Anolis sagrei: one gene and its partner. The protein of the gene in region 2 interacts with the protein of the main gene of each other region in a biochemical or structural test. Links are inferred from orthologs where the notes say so. Each region holds a gene or a part of one and is shown on either strand. Other genes may lie near its edges.

What was found.
Region 1: of the proteins of PRKCA (region 2) and MGMT, one has a biochemical effect on the other in vitro, tested with the Homo sapiens proteins (2 studies listed by BioGRID). The link is inferred for Anolis sagrei from reciprocal best matches to the Homo sapiens genes PRKCA and MGMT.

Annotation. Positions count from the first base shown.
Region 1 is NC_090023.1:193,690,772-193,702,211, reverse strand, and holds the start of MGMT (methylated-DNA--protein-cysteine methyltransferase), read left to right. Parts: upstream 1-6,895; 5' UTR 6,896-6,916; intron 6,917-11,440. UniProt on the Homo sapiens protein: Involved in the cellular defense against the biological effects of O6-methylguanine (O6-MeG) and O4-methylthymine (O4-MeT) in DNA. Repairs the methylated nucleobase in DNA by stoichiometrically transferring the methyl group to a cysteine residue in the enzyme.
Region 2 is NC_090022.1:181,294,182-181,305,227, reverse strand, and holds the start of PRKCA (protein kinase C alpha type), read left to right. Parts: upstream 1-6,587; 5' UTR 6,588-6,811; coding exon 6,812-6,987; intron 6,988-11,046. UniProt on the Homo sapiens protein: Calcium-activated, phospholipid- and diacylglycerol (DAG)-dependent serine/threonine-protein kinase that is involved in positive and negative regulation of cell proliferation, apoptosis, differentiation, migration and adhesion, tumorigenesis, cardiac hypertrophy, angiogenesis, platelet function and inflammation, by directly phosphorylating targets such as RAF1, BCL2, CSPG4, TNNT2/CTNT, or activating signaling cascade involving MAPK1/3 (ERK1/2) and RAP1GAP.

The DNA of each region.
Region 1 (11,440 bases), on a different chromosome or scaffold from region 2:
TGATAAACCAGACATATATCTGGACGCACTAGTCACGTATATCAATATACAGCTGACAGCCTTATGTACTAAGAGGTAAGTTCCCCTAAATTGAACAGAAAGTCTCCCAAGTCAATGTGTTTAGGACTGAAGCCTAAAGCTGGACTCGGGCCAGTGTCATCATTCCTTTTGGGTTGAAGTCTGTGCACAATCATAAACTGAGAAATGGCTCACAGTGTGAAAGATAGGTCTGGAAGAGGAATATTGATAACAAAACTTGCAGGACTCAATAAAGTGAGCTTTTCCTGCCCAGAGTGAAGAAAGCTATGTGGTGTATCCATGGTTTGTTGATGGAATTGCTGATAAATCCTGTCCCCAAAATAAATAAAAAAATCAGCTAGAACAAGTCAATTTCACAGAGCATTTTTTCTTCCCTCTGCCAGCCAGCAACAGAGCAGAGGCTTCAGCATCAGCTTTCAACAACTTCCATTATATAGGTGAAATGAGCAAAGATATTTCTTGTTGTATTGGTAGTGTTGGTATTGATATTTATTTATTTATTCCTGATTGTTTACTATTATTGGAAATTTTCTAATGAAAATGACCTATTTAGTCTTCCATTCAGAGTAAAGACACTCGTTTAATTAATAGGAAAAACAACATGAGAAGAAAATGCAACATATAGATTAAATATGGGGGGGGGGGGGGACTGGAAATAATTCATCCAGGCCTTTTTTGCACTGCTGTATAAAATCCAGATTATCTGCTTTGAACTGGATTAGATGGCAATGGAAAGGGGCCTAAGAGTATAATCCTGAAAAGACAAAGATCTCTTCCACACAGCTGAATACAATCCCACATTTTCTGCTTTGAATTGGAATATATGGCAGGGTGTTCTCGGATAACCCAGTTTAAAGCAGATATTGTGGGATTTTCTGCCTTGATATTCTGGGTTTTATAGCTGTGTGGAAGGCCCCTAAGAGTGCTGTAGAATTAATGCAGTTTATACTACTTTAGCTGCCATGGCTCAATGCTATGGAACCATGGAATTTATAGTTTTCAAGGTCTGTAGCCTCTCTGCCAAGTTGTGCTGGTGCTTCATTAAATTGCGAGATTTTATTCAGCTGTGGGGAAAGGGCCTACAAACCCCAGGATCCCATAGCACTGAGCCATGGCAGTTAATGTGTTATCAAACTGCATTAATTCTATAGTGTAGATGCACCCTGGGCCTGCAGTTAAGTGTTCATATAGGGCCCTTCCACACAGCCATATAACCCAAAATATCAAGGTAGATTATCCACAATATCTGGTTTGATCTGGGTTATCCAAGTCCAAACTGCCTTATAATCTAATTCAATGTGGATTTTATAATGCTGTGTGGAAAGGGCCGTAGAACATTACTTGTGGAGTGAAAAGTAGACATTGTATTGGTTTGTGGTGAGTTTTTTGGGCTGTATGGCCATGTTCCAGAAGCATTCTCTCCTGACATTTCGCCCACATCTATGGCATCTATGGCAGGCATCCTCAGATAGGTCCTCACAACCTATGGATGCCTGTCATAGATGTGGGCGAAACCTCAGGAGAGAATGCTTCTGGAACATGGCAATGCAGCCCAGAGAACTCACAGCAACCCAGGGCCGTTCCACACAGCCCTGTATTCCAGAATATCAAAGCAGAAAATCCTGCAATATCTGCTTTGAACTGGGTTATCTGAGTCCACACTCAGATAATGTGGGATTTTCTGCCTTGGTATTCTGGGATATAGGGATGTCTGGAAGGGCCCTCAATGATTCCAGCCATGAAAGCCTTTGACAAGACATTGTACTATTTTTCCACTATAATATTTGATCTGCATTGGCTGCATTATTCAGATTGTTAATTTATGGTGGTTTTTTTCTGAGCAGCCACAATGAGGATCAAATCTGCACAGGTTTCTAAAAATAAGATGCAAATGATGGATTGTATTCTGAGTTGCGAAAGAAGTGTTCCAAAATATATTTACAGCCTTATTATATTGTAAAGCCAATCTTTATACAAAGTGATTCTTTGCAATTACCTTGAAAAGCACCACGTTTTACATATTTTACCCTTAACGAATAGGGCTCTTTACTATTCAGCGATTCAAATTATTTGCTAAATTTCAAAACCAATTGGTACAAACCGTTAGGAGTTTTAATTATTGATTCGAAACCTTCAGATTATTGATTGGAAACATTGATTTACCCACTCAGTGTTTTTTAATGAAGCCGAGATTAACATGACTTTTTTACCTTCAGCAAAAAAATAAAATAAAATAAATCCCTTGCCATGGTTTTCAATTGTAGCAAAAAATTAATCTCCTGAACTAAATGAATACAACACCAGACTGAAATACAGATACTAGTCCTCCACTCCTCTGGAAAAAATATGTTTGTGGTAGCAGATAATCTTAGGGTGCATCTTCACTGTGGAATTTATTTATTTACCTATTTATTTATTTACAGTATTTTATTTTATTTATTTACAGTATTTATATTCTGCCATTTTCACCCCACAGGGGACTCAGGGCGGATTACAATACACATATACATGGCAAACATTCAATGCCATTAGACATATAACATATATAAACAGACACAGAGGCAATTTAACATTCCAGCTTTTCCGGCTTCACAAGGGCATGCTTGATTCCGGCCACAGTGGGAACTGCCGCTTCACCATCTATTTGTGATCAAAAATCCTTTGATGGAGTACTTCCTCATTCTTCTGCACACAGCTGGAAGGTTTTATGGATTGTAAATTAGTTAAATTAGCCTTCCTGCATAAGTTTCGATAAAGGTTTCCCTTGACATTAAGTCTAGTCGTGTCCGACTATTCGTGCTCATCTCCATTTCCAAGTTGTGCGTAGACACCTCCAAGGTCATGTGGCCGGCATGACTGCATGGAACGCTGTTACCTTCCCGCTGGAGCAGTACCTACTGATCTACTCACATTTGCATGTTTTCAAACTGCTAGATTGGCAGAAGCTGGGGCTGACCGCGGAAGCTCACGCCACTCCCCGGATTTGAACGTGTGACCTTTCAGTCAACAAGCTCAGCAGCTCAGTGGTTTAACCCACTGTGCTACCGGGAGCTCCTGCATAAAGTGGTACCTAAATTTCATACGCAACTGTCTTTCGTGCTGCATAGGTCGACAGCAAGCTACACTCATGACTGGAATCTCGCTCACTCCAACCTGGTTTAATCCACTTTAACACCACTTAAACAGCCACAGCTCAGGGCTCTTCCACATAGCCATATAACCCAGAATATCAATGCAGAAAATCCCACAATATCTGTTTTGAACTGGGTTATCTGAGTCCACACTGCCATATATTCTGGTTCAAAGCAGATAATGTGGGATTTTATTCAGCTGTGTGGAAGAGTTCTCAATGTTCTGGACTAATGAGAATTGTGGTTATGCAAGGTCTTTAGCCTTCTCTGCTGGTGCCTCACCAAGCTACAAATCCATGGCTTCCACTGATTGCATTGAGCTATGGCACTTAAGGAGAAACGAAAGCACCAGGGGAAAAGACTGGCGCGCGGAGCATGCTGGGAATGGTAGTCTCCCACACCAGAAACCGAGACGCTCAGCTAAGAGCGCTTGAACTACAAGTCCCACAAGGCAAACGCCACTTTGCCCTGCAGTTTCTCTCCCACTGTTTCTTTGAGCTTTGGGAAAGTGAGTGCACCATCTTCTTTTGCAACTTGTGAGTATAAACAAAAGCATATATTTTTAAAAGCCATTGCCAGCAAGAAAGCGAATTGAGGCAGTTTGGAGCGAGTGCGTGTTTGTTTACCCAGAGCCCGTCTACATTGTAGAATTAATGCAGCGTGGTACCACTTTATCGGTCCTCTTCACTGGGATTTGCCCTTAGGTGAGGCACTAGCACTCTGTCAGAGGAGGGTAACGCCCTTGTCAAACTACAGCTCCCAAGAACCCATAGCATTGATCCATGGCAGTTAAAAGTGGTGTCAAACAGCTTTAATTCTACAGATGCACCCTTAGCCCACTTCTACACTGCCATGTAATCCAGATTATCAGACCAGACAATTCTAGATGGCCTGTTTTGAATTGGATTATATGAGTCTACACTGCCAAATAATCCAGATTATCAGAGCAGACAATCTAGATGTCCTTTTTTGAATTGGATTATATGAGTCTACCCTGCCAAATAATCCAGATTATCAGAGCAGATAATCCAGATGATCTGTTTTGAATTGGATTATAGCACCGGGATTGTGGCGCAGCTGGCTGAGTGTCAGCTGCATTAAGATCACTCTGACCAAAAGGTCATGAGTTCGAAGCCAGCCCGGGCTGGAGTGGGTGTCCAGCCATTGTGTAGCCCGTTGTCGACCTTTGCAACCCGAAAGACAGTTGCATCTGTCAAGTAGGAAAATAAGGGACCACCTTGTGTGGGAGGCTAAATTTAACTAATTTATGAGGCCATAAAGAAAGAAGACTCCGGGGAATGTGGAATGCGGAAGAACTTCATCGGTGTCATTGATGGACGATGAAAAGCAGCAGCTCCCCTGGCGGCCAGAAAAAAAAAGTTAAATAGCCTTTGTCTGTTAAATGTTGTTTGTCAAACTGGCATTGAATGTTTGCCATATATGTGTTTACTGTAATCCGCCCTGAGTCCCCTGCGGGGTGAGAAGGGCGGAATATAAGAACTGTAAATAAATAAAATAATAATAAATATGAGACTACACTGCCAAATAACCCAGATTATCAGAGCAGACAATCCATATGATCTGTTTTGAATTGGATTATATGAGTCTACCCTGCCAGATAATCCGGATTATCAGAGCAGACAATCTAGATGTCCTGTTTTGAATTGGATTATATGACTCTACCCTGCCAGATAATCCAGACTATCAAAGTTGATAATCCAGATGATCTGTTTTGAATTGGATTATATGAGTCTACACTGCCAAATAATCCAGATTAGCAGAGCAGATAATCCAGATGATGTTTTGAATTGGATTATATGAGTCTACACTGCCAAATAATCCAGTTCAAAGCAGCTAATGCTGGTTTTGATATGGCAGTGTAGAAAGGACCATAGAAAACCGCTGTGAAAGCAAAGTTGGTGAGTTGAGCCATTTAGGGAGCATCTGCACTGCAGTTTGCAGTTTGATACCGCTTGACCTGCCATGGCTCAGTGCTATGGGATTTGTATCTTTACAAGCCTTCTCTGCACAAGAGGGTTGGTGCCTTACCAAACTACAAATCCCAGGATTTCATAATGTTGAGCCCAGGCAATTAAATTGAGCTCAAACTGCATTCTACAGTGTAAATGTACTCTTAGGGCCCTTCCAGACAGTCCCTATATCCCAGGATCTGGGCCACTTCCACACAACTGAATAAAATCCCACATTATCTGCTTTGAATTGGATTATATGGCAGATAACCCAGTTCAAAACAGATATTGTGGGTTATTTTGCTGTATGAAAGGGCCCCTGATCTCAGGTTTTCTGTTTATCCCAGATTATCTGGCAGTTCAGACTCGTATATTTAAGTTTAAAGCAGAAAACCTGGGATCAGATCCTGGGATATAGGGCCTGTCTGGAAGAGCCCTAAGAGAGCTCACACATGGCTGGTATGTGGCACCATGTGTCTTAGGGAATTTTACCAATTTATTGGCGAATAGAACAAGCTTAAAATAGATATATATGAATAGGCAGTCCCCAAGTTACGAGCAAGATAGGTTCTGTGGGTTTGTTCTTAAGTTGAATTTGTATGTAAGTCAGAACAGGTACATTTTAAAGTGTAACTCCATCCAGATATACACCTTATAAGTGTAATTCCAGCCATTCACTTCACTTAGGTGATCCCTCGTTGGCCGAGTAGGATAGTCTTCCAGGATCAGTATTCTTGTGGATCCGTAGGTGACTGTGGAGCCCTATTCTTGATTTGCGTCTTCTCCCGCAGTGAGGCCATTGATTTCCAGGTGGAAGGCGGTCTCGGTTGGGGTTGGCTTGACACGCCTTCCTCTTGGCACATTTATCTCTTTCACCCTCCATTCGTGCCTCTTCAAATTCTGCAGCACTGCTGGTCACAGCTGACCTCCAACTGAAGCCCTCAAGGGCCAGGGCTTCCCAGTTCTCAGTGTCCATGCCAGAGTTTTTAAAGTTGGCTTTGAGCCCATCTTTAAATCTCTTTTCCTGTCCACCAACATTCCGTTTTCCGTTCTTGAGTTTCGAGTAGAGCAACTTGCTTTGGGAGACGGTGGTCGGGCATTCGGACAACGTGGCCGGTATAGCGGAGTTGATGGCGGAGGACCATCGCTTCAATGCTGGTGGTCTTTGCTTCTTCCAGCACGCTGATGTTTGTCCGCCTATCTTCCCAAGAGATTTGCAGGATTTTCCGGAGGCAAATTCCAGCCATATATACATATTAAAAATTTACACATTTAAGTGTAACTCCATATACATTGTGTCCAAATTTGGTGTCAATCCGTCCAGTGGTTTTTGAATTATGTTAATCTCACAAATGAACATTACATTTTTATTTATATAGATATTTTCCAAATGTGTGACATGTCCAGGCTAGCCTTTTTTGCCTAGCTTTCCACGTTTCCTCTTTGGATGGTCTATGTCCTTAAAGAGTGTTTGGCTTCAGTCCCACCCCACCCCCCTCCCCTTTCCCAGGCATGCTTCCTGTTGGTTTTCAGCTTGTTTGTTTTATCTTCTTAGCTCGGCTGGAGTTGGTGATTTTGTAACATGCTGTGCATTTCTCTGGTGGACGAAGGCAGTGTCAGGCTGGGGCATTCAGACGAGGGAGCTCTCAAAAGGAGAGCCGTATTTCAAGAGTGTCTCTGAAAGTTGACTTCTTAATAAAAAGGCCCCAGCAGGGTGGTTTAGAAAACAAACAACTTTTTATATAGCTAAGATTATCTCCATTCCCCATTAGTCTGGTAAGTCTTGCGGAGCCTTGGCCTTCCCCTCTCCTAAATATTTTGCAATTGGTTCCACTTTTCCAGAATTGGCTCTTTTCACATAGACTGGTTGCTCCTGATGCACATGGTTTTCATGACATAGCTGTGTTATTGTTCATAGTGGTGATACATATTGTTTAAATTAATCACAATTATTTGGTGTATTAGTGTTCAGTTGTCTTCCAAGCCCTGCATAGTTATTTATCTAGCTTTTTTAGAACAGAAAAGTAAATACTGCTAACTTGCATGATTACCATTATTAATATGAATTTGTAACAGAATATATATTTTTGGCAATAGTTAAGCAAGTAGAGTAAATGAAAGGAATTAAGATTTGATGGACAGGACAGCTGTGGTTGCACATTTGTTGCATCTGTGCCCTGTTCACACATATAGCAGAACTCTTTGGTTTTCCAGTTCAGATGTTTTCTGCAAGTGGCAGAATAAAACCCTTCCGTCATCTTTTCCTTACCATCATACTCTATTCCAGAGGTCCTCAAACTAAGGCCCAGGGGCCGAATACGGCCCTCCAAGGTCATTTACCCGGGCCTCGCTCAGGGTCAACCTAAGTCTGAAATGACGTGAAAGCACACAATAACAACAATCCTATCTCATCAGCCAAAAGCAGGCCCACACTTCCCATTGAAATAATAATAAATTTATATTTGTTAAAATTGTTCTTCATTTTTATTATTGTATCGTTTGTGTGTGTGTGTGTGTGTGTTTTTGCACTACAGATAAGATATGTGCAGTGTGCATAGGAATTCATTCATTATTTTTTTTTCAAATTATAATCCGGTCCTCCAATAGTTTGAGGGACTGTTACCTGGCCCTCTGTTTAAAAAGTTTGAAGACCCCTGCTCTATTCCCATCAAAGCTGAAGTACAAGATAAGGATACCAATGCTTTAAGCAGGCCAAAATTATACATGGTTTTTGATCTTGCAAATACTCAATGTGAGCTGAGGACTTCTTGCAGTGTTGAAGAGTATTATATTGTGCATACTTGTTCAGGATTTGGTATTGCGTTTTAATAATTGTGTGATATTTATATGTTTTAATTGTTTATTGCATTGATGTACTGTATTTTATGTTATTGAATATGCAGCATTAAATATTACCATTATTTATGCCTGCAAGGGTGGAAAGCAGGATAGAAATAGAGTAAATATATGCTCTATTCTGCCTGGACTGGAACACTGTGGAATTTAAGGGACATGTTGACAAGCTGGAACGTGTCCAGAGGAGGGCAACTAAAATGATCAAGAGTCTGGAGAACAAGTCCTATGAGGAGTGGCTTAAAGAATTGGGCATGTTTGACTTGCAGAAAAGAAGGCTGAGATGAGAGGGAGGGAGCAACTTGTTTTCTGCTGCCCTGGAGACTAGGGTGTGGTCCAATGGCTTCAAATTACAGGAAAGGAGATTCCAAAACATTAGGAAGAACTAAACATTAGGAAGAACTTCCTAATGGTGAGAGCTGTTCAGCTGTGAAACTCCCTGTCCTGTAGTGTGCTGGAGGTTTCTTCTTTGGAGGCTTTTAAGCATCTGTCAGGGGTGCTTTGAATGCAATTTTTTTTGTTCTTGGAGTGGGTTTGACTGGAAGGCCCACAAGGTCTCTTCCAACTCTATGATTCTAAATAAATAAATGTATGAAGGTGACCATTAACAAACTAACATGTATGACTAAAATGCTGGAACAGTTGCAGTTCTCTGTAGATTAGCTCAGCACTGGCACGACTGTGGCTATGTTGCTTCCATTGCTTTTGTGAGAGAAAAGGAATCCTACTTGAAGGCTACTCAGCCTATATTATCATAAAAATTATGAACCAAAGTGAATCCAGTCCCTCTGTTTGCTCCTTGAGTAAGTAGTTCTGGCAAGATGCTCCAAAGTGTTTTGACTTGTATTCCCTCTAGAATTTATAGAGTTACAACTAGGAATAATAACTCATTACAAATTAGGTGGTGTCAAAAAAACCCAGAAAGAATATGAAAGAAAACAAGTTATTTTCCAAATTTGAATATTCACTTTTCAAATAATGAACATACATTTTTTTCTGACAGTGTTCCTCCTACTCCCTCAAATTACAGGCAGTCCCTGAGTTACAAACATCTGACTTACAAATGATTTGTAGTTAAGAACGGGGGCGAGACAACTGGGAGTGAGAGTAATCTACTTTTCAGAAGGGAAATTCACTCTTGAAAGAGTTATCACGGGGGGGGGGGGGGGGAGCTTTATCACCAGTCCTTATTTCCACAACAAGCCACATGTTTCAAAATCCAATCCTCACCGAGACCTAAAGTGGGGTTAAATCTTCTGAACAGAGCCAAAGATAGCAAAATAAATATCACAGGGGTGTTAACCCTTTCCTGTGCTACCCAAAGCTTATTTATTTGTTTCGTATCAAAAGCATTGCATAAATTAGTATAAAACCGATAAAATAGAAGTAGCTCAGGTGGCTAAATATCTTTTGACCAAGCCTCCAACAATTCTTCCTCTGTACATGAGGCAGGGCATAGTGGACGAGCATACAGATGCGGAGTTTTCTATTCTGTTCCACAATCACATAAGGTGTGGGATTCTTTTAGGTAGTGCTATTTTACTAGGTTGTCGTTTGATCTGCCCACTCCGAGTCTGTTCAGAAAGCTAATATATATCTATATTCGGCCGGAGCTACTCTTACAAAATGTCCCTGTTCTGACTTGCATACAAATTCAACTACAGAATTTATCTTTTTTCTAACTTGGAGACTGCTTGTCCTCCTAAAATGTATATAATGGTAAGACTTTTTTTATCATTACAATTCTTGGTCTTGACATCCTTTTCTCAGTTCGTTTCCTGATGCTATTGAAGATTAGAGGAGAATAATTAATTTTCTCTCTTTTACTAATATTGATCCCACCCTCACTGTTCCTGGTAAAGTGCCAAAGCCAAAGATGTTCCTTTGGATTTTTCCAGAGTAATATCCTATGATTATTCATCGCCTTTATGTAGTAGCCAAAAGCTTTGAAGGGTCTGTTAAAAGACTGTACCTTTGCACAGATGCCATCTTTCAGAATAGGTACATATTTCGGTATAGCTTACAATTTCAACTAGGTGTACTTAGAAGCTAGCATCAGCAACTTTTTATCTGCAGCCTGAATGATCCATGACAACTTAATTACACCACTTATGCAGCAACTGCACCGATGCTCTATAGGAAGCAATAGTAGTTGTACTGTAACTTATGTTTCTGTGGCTACTTTATCTCCTGATAACTCCGTAATTAACTTGTCACCACTGTTTAATGCTTAACGTATGTAGAGAATCAGTTAATGGCATCACTAAAGCGATAGTAGCCTGAAGGAGCAGCTCATGCCCACTGGGAAGGCTATCAGGGATTGCTTAAACACAAAACACCCGGGCCTGACCTGGAAAGGCATTAGGAAGCTTGTTCATTAGGAAGCTTTGGAGAGAATGTTTAAAAGTGTTACTGAGACAGGCACGTCTGGTATTCAACTGAAAACACAAACTTTGGGATCATAGTAAACTCAAGCTGCAAGGGATAGAAATACAGATTGAGTGCCTACCCCTCATCTGCAATTCTTTGGAGCAGAAGTGTTCCATATTTTGGATCCTTAGATTTCACTTGGATCTACTGAATGAGATATTTTGGAGATAGGTCCCAAGTTTAATCTCAAAATTAATTTTTACACTTTATACATATGTCCTGAAAGTAGTTTTATACACAACTAGCCACCCCTGCCACGCGGTGCTGTGGTCCAGTCTGTGTATATGTGTTTTGTCTGTGTATGTGTATATGTGTATATATGTGGTTTTGCGCATGCATAGTAATGTATTTTTTTTTGGCTTTTAAGTATCTTCCATTGTGTGTTTTTCAGTGTTTTTATGAGTGATGGTCACTCATTGGCCTGATAAGTGTACTGTGTCCAAATTTGGTGTCATTTCGTCCAGTGATTTTTGAGTTATGTTAATCCCACAAATGAACATTACATTTTTATTTATATACATACTAGCCGTCCCCTGCCATGCATTGCTGTGGCCCACATGGGGGTTCTGTGTGGGAGGCTTGGCCCAATTCCATTGTTGGTGGGGTTCAGAATGCTCTGTGATTGTAGATGAACCTGTGGCGTTCCTCAGGGTTCCATCCTGTCCCCCTTGCTGTTTAACATCTTCATGAAGCCGCTGGGTGAGATCATCCGGAGTTTCGGGGTGCGGTGTCACCTGTACGCAGATGACGTCCAACTCTGTCACTCCTTCCCACCTGCTACTAAGGAGGCCGTCGAAGTCCTGAACCGGTGCCTGGCCGCTGTGATGGTCTGGATGAGGGCGAACAAACTGAAATTAAATCCAGACAAGACAGAGGTACTCCTGGTCAGTCGCAAGGCCGAACAGGGTATAGGGTTACAGCCTGTGCTGGACGGGGTCGCACTCCCCTTGAAGGCACAGGTTCGCAGCTTGGGTGTGACCCTGGACTCATCACTGAGCCTGGAGCCTCAGGTTTCAG
Region 2 (11,046 bases):
GAATGCTGAGAGTTGCAGTCTAGCATCTGGACTTCTCCATGATTTCCCAACCCAGTTTATTGCTTTGAACACAGAACATAAACTGCACTACAGAAACACAATGTTGCCAAATACAAACTATATTTTACAGGAGCCAATATAATTGTATACTATCATGAAACATTCCTTCAAAGAAGGGAAAAGAGAAAGAAGCAAGCCCTTGCAAATCTTCACCCTTGTTGATGCAAAAGCAACTCCTCTGTCTATTTGGACAAAAAAAAAGGGTGTACTCACCTAGTAGCTGCCTTGATCCTAACTCGAGAGATTTGACCTCTTTATCAGTAAAAGCACTTCTTTCAGACTTTAATGCAATTTACCAAAATTCACTTATTGCTCCACAGCTTACAGTAACATAACAGTCTATTGTTATGTTTTGTTACATGCGTACAATCCAGATCAGGGTGGCTTTTGGGGGAGGGAGGCAGGACAGGTGTCAGGTATTACCATTTTTTAGATGTCCATTGTTACTTGTATTAAAGATCCCTTTATTTTTGAGTTGGGAAGCTGCAGAAAGGGTGGAGAGGGAAGAAATATCAAACCATTCCATCTGAAGTGATGGCCATTGCCTTTCTTTCTCATTCATTTTTGCAATGGGAAGCAGTATGCGGTGGAGGGAGTTCCCTAAATCTTCCTTTCTGCTTGGGTGCACTGCCTTCACAACCTTCCTAGCCAAGCAGCTTCTTGGCAAAGCCCCACTAGGGAAGCTGCTTGCTCAGAATGAGGTGCCCAACCATGAGATCAACAACTGGAGGGGGGTCAATTTGGGCATCGCATGGCTGGGCACCACATTCTGATGTCAAAAGTAGCAACTCGCTCACTGAGGCTCTGCCAGGAAGGCTTTTGACTGAAAGCCAGCAGCAGGCAAATCATTCTGGAAGAAAATGAAAAATATAACAACTAGCTGCCCCCCGCCACACGTTGCTGTGGCCCAGTCTAGTGATCTGCAATATAAAGTAAAGAGAAAGTGTTGGTTTCTAATATATGTCATTTCTTTATGCTTGTGGGTAAACAGTATTTCTTGCTGTTTCTTTGTCAGTGTTGATGTGGAGATTGTCTGGTTTACCTAATCAGGAACATGTCCTTCTTTAGGGGTTCCTTTCACATCTATGATACTATATCTCTCTCTGTGTGAATCATATCTATCTATATCTATGGCTGGATGGCTCTTTGTCAGGAGGGCTTTGATTACGTTTTCTTGCCCTGCTGAAGGAAGTAGGACTGGATGTTGGTCATGGGGGTTCTGTGTGGGAAGTTTGCCCCAATTCTGTCATTGGTGGGGTTAAGAATGCTGATTGTAAGTGAACTATAAATCCCAGTAACTACAACTTGCAAATGTCAAGGTCTATTTCCCCCAAACTCCATCTGTGTTCACATTTTGGCGTATTGAATGTTTGTGCCAAGTTTGGTCCAGGTCCATCATTGTTTGAGTCCACAGTGCTCTCTGGATGTAGGTGAACTACAACTCCCAAGCTCAAGGTCAATGCCCACCAAACACTTCCAGTATTTTCTGTTGGTCATGAGAGTTGTGTGTGCCAAGTTTGGTATATGCACAGAGCATATGCTCTATGCATAATGAGTACCTTAAAAACAAAAGAACCAATGAACGAAATCACACCAAATTTGGCAACAAAACGTCTCACAATACAAGGAGTGACCATCACTCAAAAAATTATGAGTTTGTCATTTGGGAGTTGTAGTTGCTGGGATTTATAATTCACCTACAATCAAAGAGCATTCTGAACTCCATCAACAATGGAATTGAACCAAACTTGGCACACAGAACTCTCATGACGAACAGAAAATACTGGAAGTGTTTGGTGGGTATTGACCTTGAGCTTGGGAGTTGTAGTTCACCTACATCCAGAGAGCACTGTGGACTCAAACAATGATGGACCTGGACCAAACTATATATATATATATATATGCTGTTTCGAATAGGGATGTGGGTAGCAATACTATTTCAGTTATGCTTAGGGTACTCTACGCTATAGAATTAATGCAGGTTGACACCACATTAACTGCTTATTTCACAACAACTCAGAGGTTTTCCATTACATTCATGCTACACACCTACACACTGCAGCCAACACACTAACACAGACATTTCAAGCTGTGTGTCACGGTACATTATTGTGTAGGTGTGCCATATGAACATAGCAAGAAACCTCTGAGTCTATGTGAAATAAGCAATAAATCATGTATTTTTTTAAATGAAAGGTTTTCATGAGATATCCTAGGCTGCCATTCATTTTGTTATTACGCTTTATGTATGCACCTGTCTCTCTTAAAAGAGGTTGGTTTAACCTCCAGTTTGTTAGTTAAACTGAATGACTGTATTGCAAAACAACCCATGTCTATAAAGCGTGTCACCAACATGAAGTGTTTGGAAAGCTCTGCACTAAGGAGTGGCAGCACACAGTTTGGAAAGCTATAGATTTTAAAGGCCATTTGAAGTGTATTTATTGTATTGCAGTTCTGCTTTTAACCACACTGTTACTGTTTAATTGTTTTTTAACTTTTGTATTGCACTTTTAAAACTGGTCTAGTCTGGGACTGTTAGCTGCCTTGAGTCCCCATGGGGAGAAATGTGATGTATAAATAAAGATAATAATAATAATAATAATAATAATAATAATCCCCCTAAAGCCACAGGTCCGCAGTTTGGGTGTCCTCTTGGATTCTTCGCTTACACTTGAGGCTCAGGTGTCGGCGGTATCCGGGAGGGCCTTTGCGCAACTCAGACTTGTGCGCCAACTGCGACCATACCTCGTGAAGGCTGATCTGGCCGGGGTGGTCCACGCCTTGGTCACCTCTAGAATGGACTACTGCAATGCGCTCTACGTGGGGCTGCCCTTGAAGACGGCTCGGAAACTTCAATTGGTCCAGCGGGCAGCAGCCAGGATGCTAACCGGGGCTCATTATCAAGAGAGGTCAACCCTCTTGTTCAAGGAGCTCCACTGGCTGCCGTTTATTTTCCGGGCCCAATTCAAGGTGCAGGTGCTCACCTACAAAGCCCTGAACGGTTTGGGACCACCCTACCTGCGTGACCGCATTACCATCTACGAACCCACACGCTCGCTCCGGTCATCTGGGGAGGCCCTGCTCGTGATCCCACCTACCTCGCAAGCGCGTTTGGTGGGGACACGGGACAGGGCCTTCTCTGTAGCGGCCCCCCGACTCTGGAACACCCTTCCAAAAGATCTCCGACAGGCCCCTACTCTGGCTGTCTTCAGAAGGAACTTAAAAACTTGGCTGTTCCGTTGTGCCTTCTCAGACTAGAAATTCCCACCCAAGTCCTAGTAGCACCTTAACATAACTAATCGCTGCTGCACACTGCACTTTTAATCCGACGTGCCTCCTACCATTTCAGCACTTTTAACCCTTGTACCCCATTGCGCCGGCCGAACCAGTTTTTAATATTGTATTGATGTATCGCCGTGGTCGTTATTTTGCTTATTGTTTTGATTTGCTTTGTATTGTTGTGTTATGTTTCTACTGTATTGTGTTTTAAGGCTTTGGCCTGTGTAAGCCGCATCGAGTCCTTCGGGAGATGCTAGCGGGGTACAAATAAAGTTAATAATAATAATAATAATAATAATAATAATCTATATACAGTGTATGTATGTATTTTTCAAGAAGGCCCCAACTTTCAGAGAGCATTGTAACTCCTGTCAACAATTAATCTGGACCATACTTGGCACAAAACACAAAGACCCCACAAGCCATGATGCACTTTATAGCCTGATGCAGTTAAGGGTAGGATAGAACATGGATGATGGGATTTGCAGTTCCTTCATCCGCTTTGGCTCTGACTTCCACAGACCATTGCGATCCCTACCAATGACGGACCTGGACCAAACTTGGCACACAGACCCCCCTTGACTCACTATACCAGGCATGGGCAAACTTGTGCCCTCTAGGTGTTTTGAACTTCAACTCTCACAATTCCTAAGAGCCTCAGGCCCTTCCCTTTCCCCCCTCAGCTACTAAAGCACCTGAGGGGGAAAAGAAAGGGGTCTGAGGATGCTAGGAGTGGTGGGTGTTGAAGCCCAAAACACCTGGAGGGCCCAAGTTTGCCCATACCTGCACTATATATCCACATATTCCAGTTCAAAACAGTAAAATGGGATTTTATTCAGTTGTGTGGAAGGGGCCTTGGAAGAACCTGCCAAGTATACTGAGGAGAGGATGTGTGTGTTTCGCCTTTGTAAGGTTCACATTCTCTGACGGGAATCACTCAAAAACAGGCTACTTTAAGGAGTGAATAGGAGAAGCAAAAAAAGTCTTCATTGCACCACCTCATCTCCTCTCAGGGCCCATCCACGCATCCCTATATCCCAGAATATCAAGGCAGAAAATCCCACATTACCTGAGTATGGACTCAGGGCCTGTCCAGACAGTACCTTTATTGTTGTATCTACTGCAATAAAGAAGGGGCTGTCCAGACAATGTTGTGGATAGACCTGAAATTAATTCGCTACAAACCAGGAAACCCCTGGTTTGTAGCGAATTAATTAGATAGTGGGTTTATTCCGTGCCTTCTTGGAAGGCATGGGATAAACCCACTATTGTAGTCCAGACACCACTCCCTCAGTTTACCAGGCTAAATAAGCCCAGTAAACTGTGGGAATACCCTTTCCCCAACCTCCCAAACCCCTTTGAAAAGTGAAAAAAAAACTTACCCAGCCTCCAGTATATTCTCTGAGCAGCTCTCCCTGTGCGTACAAATGATGCGCCAGGAGAGCAGGTGGGGGGCACCTCTCCTTTTCCTCCTCACTCTCCCCCCCCCCGCTCTCTTGGCATCTCGGAGAGTATACTGGAGGCTGGGTAAGGTTTTTTTTACTTTTCAAAAGGGTCTGGGGGCTTGGTAGGAGGGGGGCAGGACCTCCAGATGTTCTCCCGGGATTGGCCCAGGAGAACGTCTGGACACCCACCCCAAAAAGTACACACTTTCTGGGGTGTGTGTGAACAGGCCCACAGGAAAATCCACGTTTTTAAAATGCGGATTCTCCTGGGATAATGGCCTGTCTGGATCTGCCCTCAGATAACCCAGTTCAAAGCAGATAATGGGGGATTTTCTACCTTGATCTTCTGGGATATAGGGCTGTGTGGAAGGGCCCTCAGATAGAGTTGTGTGGAAGGGCCCTCAGATAACCCAGTTCAAAGCAGATATGATGGGATTTCCGCCTTGATATTCTGAGATATAGGGCTGTGTGGAAGGGCCCTCAGATAACCCACTTCAAAGCAGATATTGCGGGATTCTCTACCTTGATATTCTGGGATATAAGTCTGTGTGGAATGGCCCTCAGAAAACCCTGCTCAAAGCAGATATTGTGGGATTTTCTACCTTGATATTCTGGGATATAGGGCTGTGCAGAAGGGCCCTCAGATAACCCAGTTCAAAGCAGATATTGCGGGATTTTCACCGTGGGATATAGGGCTGTGCGGAAGGGCCCTCAGATAACCCAGTTCAAAGCAGATATTGTGGGATTTCCACCTTGATATTCTGGAATATAGGGCTGTGTGGAAAAATCCCCAGATAACCCAATTCAAAGCAGATATTGTGGGATTTTCTACCTTGATATTCTGGGATATAGGACTGTGTGGAGGAATCCTCAGATAACCCAGTTCAAAGCAGATATTGTGGGATTGTCTGCCTTGATATTCTGGGATATAGAGTTGTGTGGAAGGGCCCTCAGATAACCCAGTTCAAAGCACATATTTAGGGATTTATGCCTTGATATTCTGGGATATAGGCTGTGGAAGGTCCCTCAGATAACTCAGTTCAAAGCAGATATTGCAGGATTCTCTACCTTGAAATTCTGGGATATAGGGCTGTGTGGAAGAGCCCTCAGATAACCCAGTTCAAAGCAGATATTGCAGGATTTCCGCCTTGATATTCTGGGATATTGGGCTGTGTGGAAGCGCCCTCAGATAACCCAGTTCAAAGCAGATATTGGGGGATTTTCTGCCTTGATATTCTGGGTTATATGGCAGTGTACTATTCCATATATTCCAGTTCAAAGCAGATAATGTAGGATTGTATGCAGCTGTGTGGAAAGGGGTCTCCCTTTCCTCATGATCTGCTTTGAACTGGATTATATTCAGTGTGGACTCCTATCCTCCAGTTCAAAGCAGATAAAGTGATTTTTATATGGCAGTGTCAGATGTGTGTGGGGCATATTTTGGAAAGAGAGAGAGAGAGACCATTTGGTGAATCAGGCCCGCGTGATTCCGAGCAGCGGGGCGTGCCTCTGAGCTTGGCAAAGCCACAGGTGAAGAAGGCTCTCCGGAGGGAGGGGGGGCCTCCTTTGGGAAGCGCGCTCCCTTCACCCCTTCCCCGAATCCGCGCGCACGCTGGTTGCCCTAGAGACGGGCTTCCCCGCTGTTCCCCGTCCGCGCGCCCTCCTGTCCCTCCCTCCCTCCCTCCGCGCGCCCCGTAGCTGGGCATTGGGCGCCACTCCCTCCCTCCCTCTTTCCTTCCTTGCTTCCTTCCTGGCGGGTGGGCGGGGCCGTCGGGGTTGGCCCCGAGCGGGGATCCTCCTCCTCCTCCTCCTTTTTCCCTCAGACGTCAGGAGGAGCCCGAGCGGGCCGGGAAGGCAGCGCCCAGCCGCGCCACGCAGCCCAGCCTCACTCTCCCTGACGGGACGGGACGGGACAGGACTGAACAGGGGCTCCTCCGCCCGCCGCCTTGCCTGGCTTGGGCCGAGGGAGCGAAGAAGGGAAAGGCCGGTTGGGTGGGCGGGTGGGTGGTCTGCCTGCCGGTGCGGCCATGGCGGACGTCTTCCCCCTGGTGGAGCCCGGCTCGGGCTCCGAGGAGGTGGCGCAGCGCTTCGCCCGCAAAGGGGCCCTCCGCCAGAAGAACGTCCACGAGGTGAGGAACCACAAATTCATCGCGCGCTTCTTCCGCCAGCCCACCTTCTGCAGCCACTGCACCGACTTCATCTGGTAAGGAAAAGAGAAGGAGGAGACGCAGGAAAAGCAGGCAGGCAGGCAGGCAGGGCTCGAAACACACCGGGGTCTCTCTCTCTCTTCCCTCTTTTCTGCCTTCCTCCCTTCCCTCCCTTCTTTCTTGCCTTCCTCCTCGCTTTCATCTTGCTTTGCTTCCCTGCTCACCTCTTTTTCCTCCTTCCTTGCTTTTCTCCCACTCTCCCTCCCGCTCTCATCCTTTCTTTTGCCCTTCTCTCCCTTTTCCTTTCCTTCTCCTTCCTCCCCTTTCCTTCTTTCCCTCCCTCCCTCCTTTCCTTTCCTTCCTTCCTTTCCCTTCTTCCAGTCCTTCCTGCTCTCCCCCTTCTTTTCCTTCCCTTCCCTCTTTCCTTCCCTCCCTCCTTTCCTTTCCTTCCAGCTCTTCCCTCCCTCCTTCTTTTCCTTCTCTTCCTTCCCTCCCTCCTTTCCTTTCCATCCAGTCCTTCCCCCCTTCTTTTCCTTTCCTTCCTTCCTTTTTCCTTCCTCCCTCCCTCCTTTTCTTTCCTTCCAGTCCTTCCCTCTCTCCTTCTTTTCCTTTCTTTCCTTCCTTTCCTTTCCCCCTTCTTCCAGTCCTTCCCTCCCTCCTGCTCTTCCCTTCCAGTCCTTCCCTCCATCCTTCTTTTCCTTTCCTTCCTTCTTTCCTTCCTTCCCTCCCTCCCTCCTTTCCTTTCCTTCCAATCCTTCCCTCCCTCCTTTTTCTTTCTTTCCTTCCTTTTCCTCCCTTCTTCCAGTTCTTCCTTCCCTCCCTCCTTTCCTTTCCTTCCAGTCCTTCCCTCCCTTCCTTCTATTCCTTTCCTTTCATTTCCTCCTTTCTTTTCTTTTCCTCTCCTTTCCTCCTCCTTCCCTCCCTCCGTCCTCCTGTTCGAGTCCAGGCAGGCAGGGAGGCGTCTACTGTGTCTACTTGGCGAGTCCTCCTCTGCTTCTTCCCTTCCCTTCTGCCTTTGCCTTTCTGCCCGGAGCAGGAAGGGAACCAGGTTGGAGGCGCTGCTGCGGGGAATCCCGCGGAGAGGAGCCGGCTTCTTTCCGACCCCAAGCCCTTGCTTGGAGTGAGCTTCTTCCCGGGTACCCTCCTGGAGAGCTCTCCCTCTCTCTCTTTCCCTTCCCTTCCCTTCCCTTCCCACAGAAGGCAAGACACTTAGCTTGGTTGCTATACCTCTCCTGCCTATGGCAGTGCGGTTGCTGTGCCTGCCTTCTTAGGAACACACCCCTTCCCAGGACTGTCCCAGTGAAAGAGCTTTCCAGGCACTCTCACAACTTCTCCTTTGGCAGGGAGCCTTGGCATTGCGGCTTGAGAGATGGCTAAATGCCAGACCCCCTTCAGAGGTGCTTCTTCCAAGTTGGTTTCCTTTCTTTTGCTTCCTCCCAGCACACCAACCCCTTCTGCCTTAGGAAAGTGACAGTTTGTCATGTGCTTTAGTGCAAAGAAGGGCATCCTTACCTGTGGATGGGCGATCACTTGTGGCTGATCCAGAGGTAGAGTCTTCTAGTTCTCTGTGTTTTGCCACAGTGGGAGCAGAGATTTCCAGGTGGGAGGCAGTCACGAGAAAGATCGGCTTGATGTGCCTTCCTCTTGACATGTTTCTCCCTTTCACTCGCTTCAAAACTGGTAATAGCTGATCTCCAGCTATAACACTCAAGGGCTGAGGATGCCCAGTTCTCTATGTTTATTCCACATTTTTAAGGATAGCCTTAAGCCTATCTGTAAATCTCTTATATATTTTTTCCTTCCATGCAGCCATATAATCCAGAATATCAAGGCAGGGAATCCCACAATATTTATTTATTTATTTACTGTATTTGTATATCTTTCTCAGCCCGTAGGCTGAGATGATAAAAACATCAAATCATCTGGGCGTCCCCTGGGCAATGTCCTTGCAGACGGCCAATTCTCTCACACCAGAAGCGACTTGCAGTTTCTCAAGTCGCTCCTGACACGACAAAAAATAAATAAAATAAAAGGCCCTAGGCAACTCAAGGTGGTTAACAGGATAAAATTCAATGCTTACAATATCATAAATATAATTTAAAAACATAACATATAATAAAAAATTAAACATATCAATCTATATAAATAAAAATGTAATGTTCATTTGTGGAATTAACATAACTCAAAAGCCACTGGACAAATTGACACGAAATTTGGACACAACACACCTAACAGTCCAATGAGTGTCCATCACTCATAAACACACACACACAACCCCAGAGGAACAGACTTAAAAACCCCAAAAATACACCATACATACATACACACATACACTCATATATAAATGCACATGCACACATTCATACACGCGTATATATATGCACAAATACACACATATATACATATACACATACACACACATATACATATCCACATACATTCATATATACACACAAATGTGCATATAAATAAGCACACACATATACACAATATGCATGTACACATATAAACACAAAAACACAAATATATACACACGTATATGAAAACACACATATATAGACAAATATATACACAATATGCATGTACACATATAAACACACAAATACACAAATATATACACACACTTATATACACACACGTATATACAACCAAATATATATATGTAAGCAAAAACACATATATACACAAATATATACACACATATGCACAATATGCATGTACACATATAAACACACAAATACACAAATATATACACACACATATACACATATATACACACACAAAACATATACACAGACTGGGCCACAGCAACGCATGGCAGGGGACGGGTAGTAAAATATAAATTCATAGTGTCTCCTTGTTAAAAAGGTTGTCCGGTCTCATTGTTGTTGTTCCATTTTCCTATGTCAGTTACTCTGCATTTAGAAACGCTTGTTCAAAAAGCCACCTATTGACTTTTTTTCGGAATGTTAAAAGGGAGGTGGCCGATCTAATATCTATAGGGAGGGTGTTCCACAGCCGAGGGGCCACCGCCGAGAAGGCTCTGTCTTGTCTCCGCCAAACAATATCTGAGTCCACACTGTTTGTTCAAAGCAGATCATGTGGGATTTTATTCAGCTGCATGGAAGGGGCTGAAGATTCTGTTTTCTGTTCTTCAGTTGAGAATAAAGTAACTGGGTTCTGTAATCCCCACTAACTGTGTCACTTTGGTTCTCCTGCCCCACCCTGCAGTTATTTCCAAGCAATAGTCCTCCCTGAGATGTTATCTGCTTCCCATTTCCAATTGGGTCTCCTTTGCTGGATCCAGGCCCAAAGCCAGGATTTTGATTTTGGGGGGGGGGGGCTGAGGATCTACCCTAGCAAACCTTTTGTATTGTTACCCCAATACCCCCATGCATATGGGATATATTGAGTATGGTGATCAGGTAATGATATGAATAAACATAACAGTTTAAATAATGTACCAGTAAAGCCTTCTCGTGGACACCCTGAGAATTTTGGGGGGAGGCTGAAGCCCCTCAAGCCCCCCCCCCACCCCCGGCTATGGGCCTGGCTGGATCCGATGGGCTCAGTTCTTGATGTCCTTAGCCACAGTGTGGCTATTGATCATGACAGGTATTCCACCTGGAAGTCATGTCAAATCTGTGGTCTTTGGATGATGCTCCCAGAGAAGGAATGGGTAGACTGCATCTCACTTTATTCAGCAAACACTGGCGTCAGAGTAAGAGAACTGCACCAATTGTATCCCAGTGTGAAAGCAGTGGTGTATTGAACTCACTGGCTGTATTGAACTGGGTTGCTGTGAGTTTTTCAGGCTGTATGGTCATATTCTAGAAGCATTCTCTTCTGACATTTTCACCCACAACTATGACAGGCATCCTCAGAGGTTGTGAGGTCTGTTGGAAAATAGACAAGTAGGGTTTATATATTTGTGGAAGGTCCGGGGTGGGAGAAAGAACTTTTGTCTGCTGGAGGCAAGTGTCAATGTTGCAGTTGGCCACCTTGAATAGCATTGAATGGCCTTGCAGCCTGAATATTCCACAATATACAACAACTTGCATACGTTGTTGTAGGTTTTTTCGGGCTATATGGCCATGTTTCTAGAGCCTTCGACA